Linked DNA regions of Anolis sagrei. The protein of the gene in region 1 interacts with the protein of each later gene in a pairwise test. Links are inferred from orthologs where the notes say so. Each region holds a gene or a part of one and is shown on either strand. Other genes may lie near its edges.

Region 1 (7,706 bases):
ATGTGAATTGATCCCAGAGGAGCCTTCTAGTCACTTCCAGGTCTGATTATTTATTTATTTGGCATTTTAACACTCCATGTGGCCCCAAGACTGTCCCCAGGGGACCCACCATAACTGGCTGCCCTAAATTCAAATAAACCCATAAGAGAACAAAACAGAAACAAGGAAACTTACATGACATGTAGAAATAGCTGGGCATTTGCCTGGTACCCCAGAACTGGCAGTTGACACCTGCCTGAGGAAAACGTTCCAGGTAGCCACAGCTAAAAAGACAGTTTTAGCCTTATGGCCAAACTTACATCAAATAAACATAATTGGTTTAGCATGAGCTCAGGCTTAGATTCCCCCATTTATAGATTCTCTGGCTGGGTAGCTTCAAATGGGCAATTTTTGGTGGGGAAAAGCAGGGTGCAGAAAAGGACTAAACATCTTGTCCCTTTAGCACCATTTCCCCACTACAAAAAAAATGGTTTGCTGTTGCTATTGCTTTTACAAACAGAAATTCAAAATGTTTTAAGTATAATCGAGCTGTAAAATGGATTTGAATGTTATCAACACACCAACAAACATGAGTCTCCTTCATCATGTCTCATTTGGGCAATGGTACCACAGGTCAATGAAACTTACTTCCAAGAAGACAAAGATAAGAGCTTGGAATAGTCACTTCCATGGACTACAGCAAGATCCTAAGTTAGAAACATCCGGCTTACAAATGATTCATAATTAATAGTTGAGCTGAGACCACAGGAAGTGAAAAAAATCCACCCCTAGGAAAGGAAATTCACTCCTGGAAGAGTCATCATGAAGCTTTCTTACCAATCCTTGTTTCCATAACAAGCCAAATATTGCAAAATTCAATGATAACAGGGACAGAAAGTGAAGTGAATTTTTTTTGAACTGAAACACAGGCAGCAAAACAAACACCACAGGGGTGTTAACCCTTCCCTATGCTACCCAAAGTATGCACGCGCACACACACACACACACACACATATAGAGAGAGAGAGACTTACACTTAAAAATATACCTGTCTCAACTTACATACAAATTCAACTAAAGAACAAACCTACAGAAATGATCATGTGTGTAACTTGGGGACTACCTGTATAACTCTCAGAAAAACATAAGCCCATGCCAAAATGGCCAGTGGCCACGCTGCTTAGGAAACTTTGAGAGTTGTAATACAAAACAATAACTTTTCCATTTACTCCTATTGGAAATCACTACCTTCTGTCTGCATTTTTATTTACTGTCTATGGCTATTTCTTAAACTGGGAACCTACTTATAGTGGGAAACTATGATACTATAACGGCACTCCATGCAGTCATGCCGGCCACATGACCTTGGAGGTGTCTACAGACAACACCAGCTCTTCGGCTTAGAAATGGAGATGAGCACCACACCCCAGAGTCAGACATGACTGGACTTAATGTCAGGGGACAACCTTTACCTTAAGATACTATAAAATGAGAAGCAGCTGTGACTTACTCTCATGTTATCTTCACCAATGGTTTGATCCTTAAATCAATCTGAGTTGGCCTATTAGACCACTTCACCATCACAGCCTTCCCCATGTGAACACTACCTTAGAACATACACAGACTACAATAGTAAACTGGAGTCATGCAAGCAATTTCTTTTGTGAGGGGAAAACCATAACCAGTGGTTCTCAACCTGTGGGTCCCCAGATATTTTGTCCTTCTACTTCCAGAAATCCCAGCCAATTTACCAGCTGTTGGGATTTCTGGGAGTTGAAGGCCAAAACATCTGGGGACCCACAGGTTGAATATAGCAGCAAGGAGAAACTGAAATTCCTGGAACCCATTGAGAATGGAAGCAGTATGGACCTGGAGTTATTTTATGGAGAGCAGTTAACTTAGAACAATGTATCTAAGGTGCATTTACAAGATTTAAAAAACCACATAAACCTCTTATCTACAAGTCTCAACATGAAATAGTAACTATTTACTCCAAGAAACTAGCCCTCAGCAATTCCAGCAGGATGCCACCACGGCAAGGCATTCAACCACCTACGTTCAGGTGAAGTCAAAACAAACCCACTTCTTTTACAGACTTCAAATGAGCTCTCTCCCCTTAGGCAACAAAAGGTTGGCACACATCACACAATAAGGAAGTTTTCTCCATTTCCTTCCAAGCTCTACATCAGCGTGAAGCAAAACAGGAGAACTTTACCTAAAAGGCTTTAGGGTGACAAGACATCTTCTGACCATTATTTTCCCATCTGAATTCACTGTAATCATTGTTCAAACTTTGTTTCAGAAAAAAATTAAAAACACAGCCAGTATTTCATGAGTCTGACCACAGTTATTTCAAAGAGTACATAGCTGGAGACTCTCAGCAACACGTGAAGAAAAGGAATATCAAATTTGCACAATAAATCCACATAAATAAAGCAAATGAGATCTTCGTTTCCCTCCTGGGCAGTCTGCTTGTGTGGTTTTTCTCTTAATGGATTTCAGCTGTAGGAGAAACAGGTATGAGCAAAGACAGAAGATGACTGAATGGTGTAGTATTGGCTTTAGTCACATTTTGGAAGCAAATTGAAGCAAACACAACACCCCTTTTCTCCAGATATTAAATCCTCAATTCAGGTGAAAAATGCCTGGGTTCAGAGACTCCTCTATGGGTGAGATCCTTCATCCCAGCCAGTTACTTCCTTCTCTCTCTTTCAGCATACACCTCAATTGAACCCCCACAGCAAACGTTTGCTCCTTTCCTTCTCCAGGCGAGCTTCAGCACTGCCAGGTAGATGCCATTTCCAGGGCTTATTTCCTCGTTGAGAGCAGACTCCCAGTCACAGCCGGAGATACAGTGGTTAAAGGGCACAGCTCCTCCATCCCGGTCCAACAACTGCCTCGCATCTTCTTGGCCAGCCAAAACATTCTGCTTTAACCTTGTGAACGGGCTGCATTGTTTCTATCGGGGAAGGATGCACTGCTCAGAGTCAGGATTCGGTGGAGGAGGAGAAGCAGCATCAGCTTCCTTGTGCAATATGAATTGGATGCCATCTAGTGGGAACGGTTGGGATCATCTGTTGCATTTGGCTTTTAGTGCTGCAAAAGAGGAGCTGTCCAAGAGCTGAGAAGCAGAGCACACCTGAAAGCCATTTCCTGGGCCTGCACAGCCTGCCTTAGCCCAGTGTTTCTCAACCTGTGGGTCCCCAGATATTTTGGCCTTCAACTCCCAGAAATCTTAACAGTTGGTAAACTGGCTGAGATTTCTGGAAGTTGTAGGCCAAAACACCTGGGGACCTACAGGTTGAGAACCGCTGCCTTTGTACAAGAACGGGAATCAGCATTTGTTAATTTTGCTGAACTACAATACCCAGAAACCCTAGCCAGCCTAGTCAATTCTATTTCTCAGAATATCAGGGCAGAAAATCCCACAATATCTATTGTGAACTGATAGTCCACACTCAAATAATGTGGGATTTTCTACCTTGATATTCTGGGATATAGGGCTGTGTGGAAGGGCCCAAGAGAGCCTCATCCCTGCTTGTCTTTCATAGGCAGGTGAAAATGTATCTCTGCCATCAGGCATTTAGGGAAAGGTGAGGGGCAGGCTGCTGGGAATGGTGTGAGTGGGATTTGGGGAGAGGGTGCTATGTAGTTTTTATGGTATTTTAATTGTATTTTAATTTATATGCCTCATGACACAAAATATTTAATTGGTTTATCTTTTATATTCATATTTTAATACATTAGCTTTATTTTTAGTTTACATTGCATCATGTTTGCTGTTAACCACCTTGAGTCCTTATGCTGAAATAAAAATGCAGTCAATAAATAAGTGCATAAACTTCCCTGCGGAGGGTAGAATCCTTATCTGGGAGGCAAGGCACTCATTTTCCACTCTTTCACAGCTATAACTCTCAGTCAGGCCTCTTCCCTTCCCAGATGGCACTCAGGCATGCCTACAACAGCACAATTAAGGGCTCCAGTATTGTCAAGCTATTTTGACAGAAGCAGTGTGTATGTAGTGAGCCAGGCCTTGCAGGGCTGAAAGTCCATCAGGGACCATGGCATCACCTGATCCTTTCCACATCTGTATTTGGATTTTGCTCTTTCCTCTGAGCTAAACTGGGCTGTGAGGGGAAAACATTGATTTCCCTAGCAAAAATCTATTGTTGTGAGCCACTTTTGCTCTAATGTAAGCCTTTTATTGCCACTTTCTCTGGAACCATTAAATGTTAAGACCTTTACAAAAGACCACCTAATGGGAAGGCAAACTGGGGGAACTGGCTCATTGGGATGGATCAATATAACTGCTTGCATTCTGGGACTCTCCTTGGAGAACCCAGAGGGACTGTCATCATAAGAATCTACCACATTTCAGAATGTGCATATATGCCACCCTTGACATTAGATCCATCTCTCCTTCTCATGCACACAGCTCACGTCCTGAGTGAGGATAGATCGGTTCCTCCCAATTATTTTCAGTTTCAAATCCTTCCTTTTTCTCCTTTCAGCTGTCCTGAGCAAAGAAATGTTGTAGTTCACAAAACCTTGATTAGCCATTGAATGTGAACTGAGGAATGTTGCATGCAAATTGATTTCTATTAAGGGCACTCGGGCTCTGATGGCAGTTCCAAAACCTTTCAAGGATGTCCACAGCTCACAATAGCACACCAGACAGAAGGAAGGAGCGTTTGTTCAGTATGATCCTATAGGCTTTTACTTACCTGTCAGTGGTAGCACTGCAAAAATGTTTCAGGTAAGGAGACAAAGGAAGGATAACATATATTTGGTAAGCTTCCCTCCTCATTGGCAACAAATACAATTTATATTTTTAAAAATAAATAAGCTGAAAAGTCTGCAAAAGCAAGGGAGGTTTGGAAGACACATACAGCCCACATGTTTCACTTTCTTGCTCCAACATACTCACATGGCAATGCATGGATGCATTTGTATTCCCCATGTGATAGTGCCCTTCCTCCAAGTAATAAGGATTCCAGAACCTCTTATTCCTGCCTCGGATATTATAAACTGTATGCTTCTTATTTGGGATGCCATGAAAACAAGTTAATCATCACTGATTCACTTGCTTCCTTTGCCCTGTTTGCTCATCTATTCATACAGAGATGGGGCCTTGTATCAAGAAACTGAGTACTGAGTACTGAGTACTGAGATTTATATCTCAGTACTCCAGATAAAATCTCTGAATTAAAGAGAGGGGACATGTTTGCCATGTTTAAATATTTGAAAGGGTGTGACAATATATTATTATTATTATTATTCAGTGCATTGAATTTTTAGAAGAAATCTGGTGTATTATTGCTGTCGTCAGTTACATATTGTGAACTTGGGCAATAGTTGATGCCACCTAGTAACTTATACACCAGTTAAAACCTTGACATGGTTCACTTTCAAATAACCTGCATTTTTTTAAAAATCATTCATGCAAGTGGTGGCTGGTGGCTGACACCTCAGCAGGGCAGTTAATCTAGTTACGGTCTCCCATTCCACTACATAATTATAGTATTACAATTCTACTTTAGATGCCATGGTATCATCCTATGAAACAGTAGAATTTGTAGATTGGAGATTCACTAGAGCACTTTGTAACATAATTTTCCCTAAACTACAAATCCCAGAATTTCTCAGGATATTGCTGTAATAATTAAAGTAAAAACACACCCTTAAGACAGGGTAGTAGGAAAAATGATCCAGGTTTCAGTTCATGAGGATCTCAAAAATGCTGACTTTTTTTGTAGATAGGATTCAACTTTCTGGATAGCTCCACTGACACTTGAGCAACAACCAGCATTTAGTTTTCCACTGTTGTTAACTACTATCAAGATGGCTTTCATTTGTGCTGGCTCCATGAATGGCAGACCTTCAAGTTAGGCTATCATCAACAGACTGTGCGGGTCTTGCAGACTGAGGGCAGCCATTACTTCTGTAATTCAGTTTATCCCTCTAAAATGTGGTTTTCCTCTTTTCCTACTGCTCTACATGCTATGGTGCCATTGAAGGTGAAATATTGCCTTTAGCACATAAAATTCTTTTTTTTTTTTTTTTGCATCAGCCCTTGATGTTTTCTCCCTTATTTTTTCCTTGGTATTATGCACCCTGTTTTGTTTTCAGGGTTCAGCTAGCAATGACCCTTTTCACAATATTCAGTCTGAATACCTAGTCCCTTAGTATCAAAAATTTTATCAGTTTTTCTTTATACAGAACTTCCAAGTTGTGATGTATGAGTATGAAGGAAAACCTGAAAACAGTTTTTGTTTTGTTTTGGGTTTTTTTTTTTTGTTTGGAAATTAAAGGACTGGGACTTTTTGGCAGAGCTTACCAGAGAAGGAGGGAGAGGGAGGAGATGCAATTGGCTTACATTAAAACAGATAGGACCTTCTCAAATATCTGAAAAGTAGCCTCTACTTTCAAACAACATAAAGAATCAAAACAGCCATTAAAGAAACTCCCTGGAGCAGCAGCTGAAGGGCAAGAAAAGTTGAGGGATGTGTTAATGGAGACATTTGACAGGCTCTGCTGGAAAGAAACACTTTGGGTTTGTGATAGTGAGCCCATCTCCCCCCTGCTGGGAGCAGGCCATGCCAGGATATCCTTCCTCCTTCGTGCCAGAGAGGAGTGAGTTCTCACTGCTGTGAAGGAGCTAGGAGCATGAATAAGGCATCCATCCCTGACAATTAGCAACTCTAACCATCATTGCTCTGGACCAGATCTTTCAGATTGCTCAATAATTTCACAAGTGAGGCAATGAAACCCTTCCTATTAGGTGTGAGAAAGTTCTCTGTCTTCAACCAAGCACATTCAAAGGCTGAAATCCAATAAAAGCCTAGCAGGGACAAAGTCCCAATTAGCTCAGGATGGTTTACCTTTCAGCATTTATTTATTTATCATGTAAGAAGCAAATTGAGAGTACAGTTGTAATGTATTTAAAAACCCAAACAACGTTTTAAAAACTTGGCAATACACTAAATGTCCTTTGGCCAATAGCTGACCTCTGGTGTGCCTCTGGTGTTGCTATAAGAAGGTCCTTCATTGTGCATGTGGCAGGGCCCACATTGTAATAGGTGGTCTGCATTGTAATAGGTGGTCTGTGATTTGCTCTTCTCCACACCCACGGGTTGTGGATTCCACTTTGTAGCCCCATTTCTTAAGGCTGGCTCTGCATCTCAGGGTGCCAGAGTGCAGTCTGTTCAGCACCTTCCAAGTCAGCAGATATACTGGTTATAGGGCAATGTACTATATAAGTGGAGCCAGCATGGCAGAGTGGTTTGAGTGTTGGGACTATGACTCTGGAGAACAGGTTGAGCAAGATTGGAGAATGATGAGAAGGTGTCCAAAGAAGAATGGTTATAACTCAACATTGTGAATAGTGATTATTAAAGGAATGGCTAGTAATACGCAGAGAAGCTACATAAGGTGAAACTGCATAACATTATTCTCATATCTCTCCCATTCAAATATAAAAAGTAGAGTAGGGAGAAGGTCTTACCCACACAAACACACACACCAGGCCGCATCATCCTTCCTGGAGCCATTTGCTTGCTGCTTACATCCCTCTATTTTTCACTTCATTTCCAGATGAGGTATGAATGGAGAAAAGTGAAAGAGGGCATGTATTTGCCACAATAACATCTTGTTTGGCCATCACAAGCATAGCACTAAAACAGATTGAGGAACATAGCAAAACATGTCACTCATAGATTTCTGAAATG
Region 2 (7,139 bases), about 29 Mb from region 1:
CCATGGGATGGGGTGAGCTCCTTCTGTTAGTCCCAGCTTCTGCCATCCCAGCAGTTCAAAAACATGCAAATGTGAGTAGATCAACAGGCACAGCTTCAATAGGGAAGGTAACAGTGCTCCAGTCATGCTAGCCACATGACCTACTGACAACGCTGGCTCTTCAGCTAAGAAATTGAGATATTCATCACCCCCCAGAGTCGGACTCAACTAGACTTAATGTCAAGGAGAAACCTTTACCCTAAACTTTTATGTATTTTATATCATAACAACTTCCTTTCCACCATTTCATTCTATATATTTATTTTGCTGCTTCAATATAATTTATTACTTGTTAGGGTAAAACTGCAGTTGGTAGTCATTCAAGTTCATTTAAATCAGTGTTTCTCAACCTGGGGGTCTGGATCCCTGGGGGGTGTCAGAGGGGTCACCAAAGACCATTGAAAACACAGTATTTTTCTGTTGGTCATGGGGGTTCTGTGTGGGAAGTTTGGCCCAATTCTATCGTTGGTGGATTTCAGAATGCTCTTTGATTGTAGGTGAATTGTAAATCCCATCAACTACAACTACCAAGATCTATTTTCCCCAAACTCCATCAGTATTCACATTTGGGCATTTTGAGTATTCGTGCCAAGTTTGGTCCAGATCCATCATCGTTTGAGTCCACAATGCTCTCTGGATGTAGGTAAACTACAATGTGTACAGAACTGCCTTCTAAAACTCATTTTCATCCTACTACTAAGCATTGCCAGCCGCCTTAACTTCATTTTTTTGAAGTCAGTTTAAATTTATAATTTCTCGGCTGAGTGCAGACCACTGAAATAATATCTCTAATGTAAATCCATTAGAATGGTGGAGGTTTCTTTTTATTATTATTATTGATATTTCTTTTTAAAAAAGGACAATTGCACACATGGTGGAGGTTTCTAATTAAATTTTTATCTAACTAATTCATCATCATATTACTAAATTACGAATGTAGTATCACTAATGTTCCAGTATTTTAGCATACACACTGAATCCAGTTGGATTAGTGGAAGGGCTCAGTCTCCACATGATGGAGCTGTATGGAGAGCATACTTTGAACAGATCTGCTGAAAGCAGTGGAATTCAGGCTAGTGATGACTGATTTAAATCCCATTTATTTCAAAGGGAATATTAGAAGCATGGTTAAATGGATTTTGGTTGCTGAAACGGGTATCTGTTTAACCAGTCTGTAGGCTATCTGCATAATGGTCAACACAGTGACTCTGGTGGTAATAATATAATTGTTTGAAATCCATTTTTAATTAAATGACTTGTAGACAAGATTAGTCCTTGGATAATTTAGCTTGGCATACATTCCTAAACATGTTTACTCCAAAATTAATCTCACTGAGTTCAGTGGGGCCACTGCCTAGCAAATACTTAGGATCTGTGTGTACTATTAGCCTATAGGCTCTGGCAATGGATAAGAACAACCAAACCAAAAATGGCTTGGATGTGCAACTTTGTTCTCAAATTCATTACAAATCCAAAACTCAAAATGGAACCATATCTTTATGAGAATTAATCAGATTGTGTGCAAGCTTTGGAGGTCCCACAAGTGCACTTGGCGGGGACGAGACAGAACCTTCTTGGCGGTGGCCCCACGCCTGTGGAACCCGCTCCCCAGCGAGATCAGGTTGGCATCTTCCCTCCTTTCTTTCAGAAAGAAGGTTAAATCATGGTTCCAGGACCAGGCCTTTGGACAGCAAGAATGACAGCACTTTAGATGTTGAATCAGACTGGAATTGGCAATATGGATTGATGACAAAGTTTTTTATGTGTTTTTAACTTAATGTTCTATTTACTCTTTTAAACTGTTGTTATATTTGTTTATATCTGTATTATCTTGTGCCATCAAATTGTTGCCGGTGTAAGCCGCCCTGAGTTCCCCCTTGGGGGTTGAAAAGGGCGGATTAGAAATGTGGGAAATAAATAAATAAATAATTTTTTTTGGATTGTATAGCCATATTCTGGAAGCTTTCTCTCCTGACATTTCTCTCCTGTCATCTATGACAGGAATGGGGAGAGAATCAGGGCAAATCAGGGCAGACCTATGGCCATCAGGCACAGGAAACTTCTAGTCTTGATCCTTTTGATTCCTCCCCCATCTCCCCAAACTCCCCAAAATCCTAAATCTGGGGAAACTAAAGGGTGTGGTATTTACATACAAAACAGAAGTCTGCTATTCCTTCCATCAGCTTAGAAGCAATACTTTGAACAAGAAAGACCATGTGGATTGGGTTTTCAAAGGCAATGCCAAGTTAAAGGGACAATGCCATGTTCCAGAAGCATTCTCTTCTGACATTTCGCCCACATCTATGGCAGGCATCCTCAGAGATTGTGAGGTCTGTTGGAAACTAGGCAAGTGGGGTTTATATATCTGTGGAATGTCCAGGGTGGGAGAAAGAACTCTTGTCTGTTAGAGGCAAGTGTGAATGTTGCAATGGGCGAACTCTATTAGCATTGAATGGCCTTGCAGCTTCAAAGAACAAATACAGTTTGACACCACTTGAACCACCATGGCTCAATGCTATGGAATGGCGGGGGTACCAAACAATACGTCTCACACTTCCATAGAATTGAGCCATGGCAGTCAAACCACATTCACTCTACAGCAGGCATGGGCCAACTTCGGCCCTCTGGGTGTTTTGAACTTCAACTCCAACAATTCCTAACAGCTGTTAGGAATGTATTGTTGAAGGCTCTCATGGCTGGAATCACTGGGTGGTTGTAAGTTTTCTGGGCTGTAGGGCCATGTTCTAGAAGTTTTCTCTCCTGACATTTTGCCTGCATCTACGGCAGACATCTTCAAATGGCGTTTATATATCTGTGGAATGTCCAAGGTGGGAGAAAGATCTCTTGTCTGCTTGAGGCAATGTGAATGTTTCAATTGGACACCTTGATTAGCATTTAATGGCCTAGCACTTTCAAGGTGTGGCTTCTTACTTCCTGGGGGAATCCTTTGTTGAGAGATGATTAGCTGTCCATGATTGTTTCTTGTCTGGAGCTCCCCTGTTTTTGAATGTTGTTTATTTATTTATTCTTTATTTACTGTTACAATTTTGGAGTTTTAAATAATGGTAGCCAGATTTTGTTCATTTTCATGGTTTCTTCCTTTGAACTTGTCCACATGCTTATGGATTTCAGTGGCTTCTCTGTGTAGTCTGATATGGCAGTTATTAGAGTGGTCCAGTATTTCTGTGTCCAGGTTGGTTCATCAGGTGCTCTGCTATGGCTGACTTCTCTGGTTGAGCGAGTCTGCAGTGCCTTTCGTGTTCCTTGATTCATGTTTGGGGCTGCCTACTGGTTTTAGGGATCGTGGGAGTTCAAGTCCAAAACACCTGGAGGACCGAAGTTGGCTCGGGCCTGATCTAGAGTGTGGGTGCAGCTTCGTGGAGTCCAGGGCTCCTCTGGAAGGAAATGAACCTAGCGAAGAGCGGGGGAGGGGGGGTGTGCATCGGAGCCTCTCTGCTCTTCCTTCTCAGTGGGAATGAAATCCCAGGCCTCTCCTCCCAGTCCTCGCCCATTAGGCCTCAGTAGATGGCAAGCCCTTGCTCTGTTGAGAGAGACGGGAGGTCGCCCTCCCCTCCCATTTCCCTTGTTCGCCAGGTCCCTGCGCCTCTTCCTGGCCTCGGGAAGGGGATGCTAATGGGGCTGTCCCTGGCCATGGCGAGGCAAGGGGGGGGGGGCCGGGGGGCGCCCCGAGGGGAAAGGAAGCCGGGCAGCCAATTTGTAGCCCGGGCTGCGATGGAGAGGGGGCTTGATTGGGAAGAGAGAGGAGGCCGAGTGGAGGAGAGCAGAGGAGCGCAAGGCGAGGGGCGCGCGCTCTTGGAAAGCGGCAGGCCGCGCGCAGAGGGAGGCCGTCGGGATGCTCCGAGGCCAACCTGCCTGCCTCCCCTTGCTTTCCCAGCTCGCGAGAGGGCGGGGGCACTCCGCGCGCCCAGGCCTGCCCTCGCCTTTGCCCCTTCCCCACTCGCACGCGCTGAGAAAACCCGCCCCGGTTTCCTGACTCGACGGCGTCGCGGTGCCAGGGGGAGTGACGTCAGAAGCGGCTCTCCGCCGGGGAAAAGCCCAGGGCCCCGTCCCGCCCCCGCCGCCGCGCACAGAGCACCACGGACCTGCTCCACGCCCTACGCCGGGGCCAAAGGGCCACCCTCCACGGCTGGGCACCCAAAGACACCCGAACGTCTTCAAAGCCTGCAAAAGCCTCGGGGGGCCCATGGAGCCCACTCTGGGCGCTCGCTGAGAAAAGACCACTTTTCCCCCGGCGTGGCCCTTATCCGCCCATCTCGGCCGGGACCCGCGAAGGAGGCTAGGGTAAGCCACGCGCGTCTCTCGGACTCAAGACCTGAGGGGTGAGTGGGAAGCGTGTGGTGGGGGGGGGGTCCTTCCAGCCCTGTCCTCCAAGCCCAGAGAGCGCGCGATACGGCTCCCTCGAGGGTGCGGGCGGGAGGCCGCGGGGGAAACAGGCTCCCGCGTGACTCCCCAGCATCCCCGTCTCGGACAGGAAGCCCCCTTCTCTCTCTCTTCCTGGTCACTCCCCTCACACACACACACACACACCCTGAACCTTCCGCCTCAGCCCTAGAGGGCAGTGCCCCGTCCCCCACTTCGAGGGGGTGAGCCTTCTTATCCATCTCCTGCCAAGAACCGGGGAAATCCTTTTCTACTTCCTCTCCTTCCTTTTGCTCTTCTTCTTTTCCTCCGCTTCGTTTACTTTTTCTTCTTCTTCTTGTCCTTCATATTCTTCCTTCTCTTCTTTTCAGATCTTTTTTTTTCTTCCTCCTCTTCTTGCCCCTCCTCCCTTTATTCCTCTTGGTCTGCCTCCTTCCCTTCCTCTTCTTCATCCGTTACTTTTTTTTCCCTCTCCCGATTCCTTCTTTTTTTTTAGTTTTCATTGTCATCCTCCTTCCTTTCTTCTTCTTCACTAATTTATTTTCTCCCCCTCCTCTTCTTTCTCTGCTTTTCCGTTTTCTTCTCTCTTTTTTTTCTTCGTTTGCTTTTCCCCCCTCCTTTTCCTATCTGTCCTCTTTTCTGTTTTCTTTCTCTTTTCCGTCCTCATTTTCTTTTTCTTCCTCCTCCTATTCCGCTTCTTGTTAGTGTTTTCTTTTTTTCTTTTCTACTTTCACTTCTCTGAATTCCTCTTCTTTGTCTTCCATCTTTTTCCTTCTCCTCTTTTTCATTTTCTTTTTCTTCCTCTTCTTCCTCCTCCTTTTCTTCTTCATTTTCTGCCTCTTCGCGTCATCCTTTTCTTTTTTCTTCATCCACTTCCTTCTCATCCTTTTCTTTATATATTTTTATTTTCTTCCTCTTCTTCATCAATTTCTCTTCCTTCCCCCTATTCTTATTCTTCCTCTTCCTTTTCTTCGTCCATTTCTTTTTCTTCCCCTTTTTCCTATTTGTCCTCTTTTTTCTTCCGCTTCTTCCTTATTTCCTTTATATTTTTCATTTTCTTTCTCCTCTTCGTCACTTTTTTTTCCTTCCTCGTTTTTCTTTCTCCTCTTCCTTTTTTCTTTCTATTTTTTCCTATTCTTTCTCCTCTTCACTACTTTGTTTTCCTTCCTCCTCTTCCCCTTCCTCCTCTACTCCCTCTTCTTCATCAATTTCTTTTTCTCCTCTCCTTTCCTATTCCTCTTCTGCTTTGTTGTTCTCCTCCTTTTCCTCTTCTTCATTATCATCTTCCTCTCGGTGGTTCCAATAGGGAGTAGGGCGAGCTCCCGTCTGTCAGCTCCAACTTCTCATGAGGGGACATGAGAGAAGCCTCCCACAGGATGGTAAAACATCCGGTTTTCCCTGGGCAAGGCCCTTGCAGACGGCCAATTCTCTCACATCAGAAACGACTTGAAGCTTCTCAAGTCGCTCCAAGACCTCATCACACTAGAGAATGAATCACTTTAAATCTGGTTTCTGCTTCCTGCAGAATTCTGGGGTTTGTAATTTAGGGAGGGGCCTTTAACAGCCTCACTAAACTACAAACCCTAGAATTTTGCAGGAGGCAGTGTCTGGATTTAAAGTGGATTCATTCTCTAGTGTGATGAAGTATGAAAAAAACTTTTCTTTCTTTTTCTTCTTCTTCTTCCCTCTCTCCTCCTTCTGTGGCCCGTGGGCCTGAGTCCCCCCCCCCACATCCCCTGTTGCCCCCTCCCTCTCCCCATGCCCCCCCCCTCCTCCTTGGGTCTTCGGCGCGGCTCCCCTAATTGCGTCCCGGGCTTAGCCTTGAAGTTGCAAGTCCTTGACATCTTTATACCTTGTATAAATTCTCGAGGGCTCCTGCGCTTCGTCAAATCTGACAAATATGCCCGCAAATATCCTTCCGCGGTGAAGTGGGGGGGTGCGGCCTGGCTAGTCCTCCCGGCAGCAGAGGCCCCTCGGAGCCGGGCTCCTCTCTGGCCTGGCTGCGAAGGGAAGGGCCCCGGGCGGCGTGGGGCCGAGCCACCACAACCCTCCTCCTGCCCACCGCGGATGCGGGTGACAAGCAACGCCCCAACGCCCCTCATAAACCTTCTGTTTTTTATGGAATTCGATGTTCTTTTTATGGCCGCAGCTACTTGATCCTGAAGGCTCCGTGTGCCCAAGATCTCTCTCCCAGGGATTCCAGTCTTGCACACTTAATATTTTACAGGTGTATTTCTCTAGAGTTTATGTAACTGTCTTATGAATTATTATTATTATTATTATTATTATTATTATTCAGACGACTTTTCTGTGGTTATTTCCTTCCCGAAAATTGTATAATTTTATGATTTTTTAAAATGAGACTGAAAAAATGGTTTGATTTTTCAAAGACCTTCAAAATATTATGCTTTTAAAAAAAAATAGCCGAAATAAATATTCAATCTAACTAGGAAACTGGAAGTGAGCGTTTCAATAAAGTATATAGGAAATCAAAAATACTGGACTGGGCTATATGGCCATGTTCTAGAAGCATTTTCTCCTGACGTTTCGCCTGCATCTATGGCAAGCATCATCAGAGGTTGAGAAGTCTCTTAATTGTGGAGCCCTTAATTGTGGCTCCATAAAACACAAGACCTCACAACCTCTGAGGATGCTTGCCATAGATGGAGGCGAAACGTCAGGAGAGAATGCTTCTAGAGCATGGCCATATAGCCCGAAAA

The links.
Region 2: the proteins of MGAT5B (region 1) and PITX1 interact in a two-hybrid assay, tested with the Homo sapiens proteins (2 studies listed by BioGRID). The link is inferred for Anolis sagrei from reciprocal best matches to the Homo sapiens genes MGAT5B and PITX1.

Annotation. Positions count from the first base shown.
Region 1 is NC_090022.1:120,077,802-120,085,507, reverse strand, and holds the start of MGAT5B (alpha-1,6-mannosylglycoprotein 6-beta-N-acetylglucosaminyltransferase B), read right to left. Parts: upstream 3,012-7,706; 5' UTR 2,263-3,011; coding exon 2,195-2,262; intron 1-2,194. UniProt on the Homo sapiens protein: Glycosyltransferase that acts on alpha-linked mannose of N-glycans and O-mannosyl glycans.
Region 2 is NC_090022.1:91,207,715-91,214,853, forward strand, and holds the start of PITX1 (pituitary homeobox 1), read left to right. Parts: upstream 1-4,123; 5' UTR 4,124-4,379; intron 4,380-7,139. UniProt on the Homo sapiens protein: Sequence-specific transcription factor that binds gene promoters and activates their transcription. May play a role in the development of anterior structures, and in particular, the brain and facies and in specifying the identity or structure of hindlimb.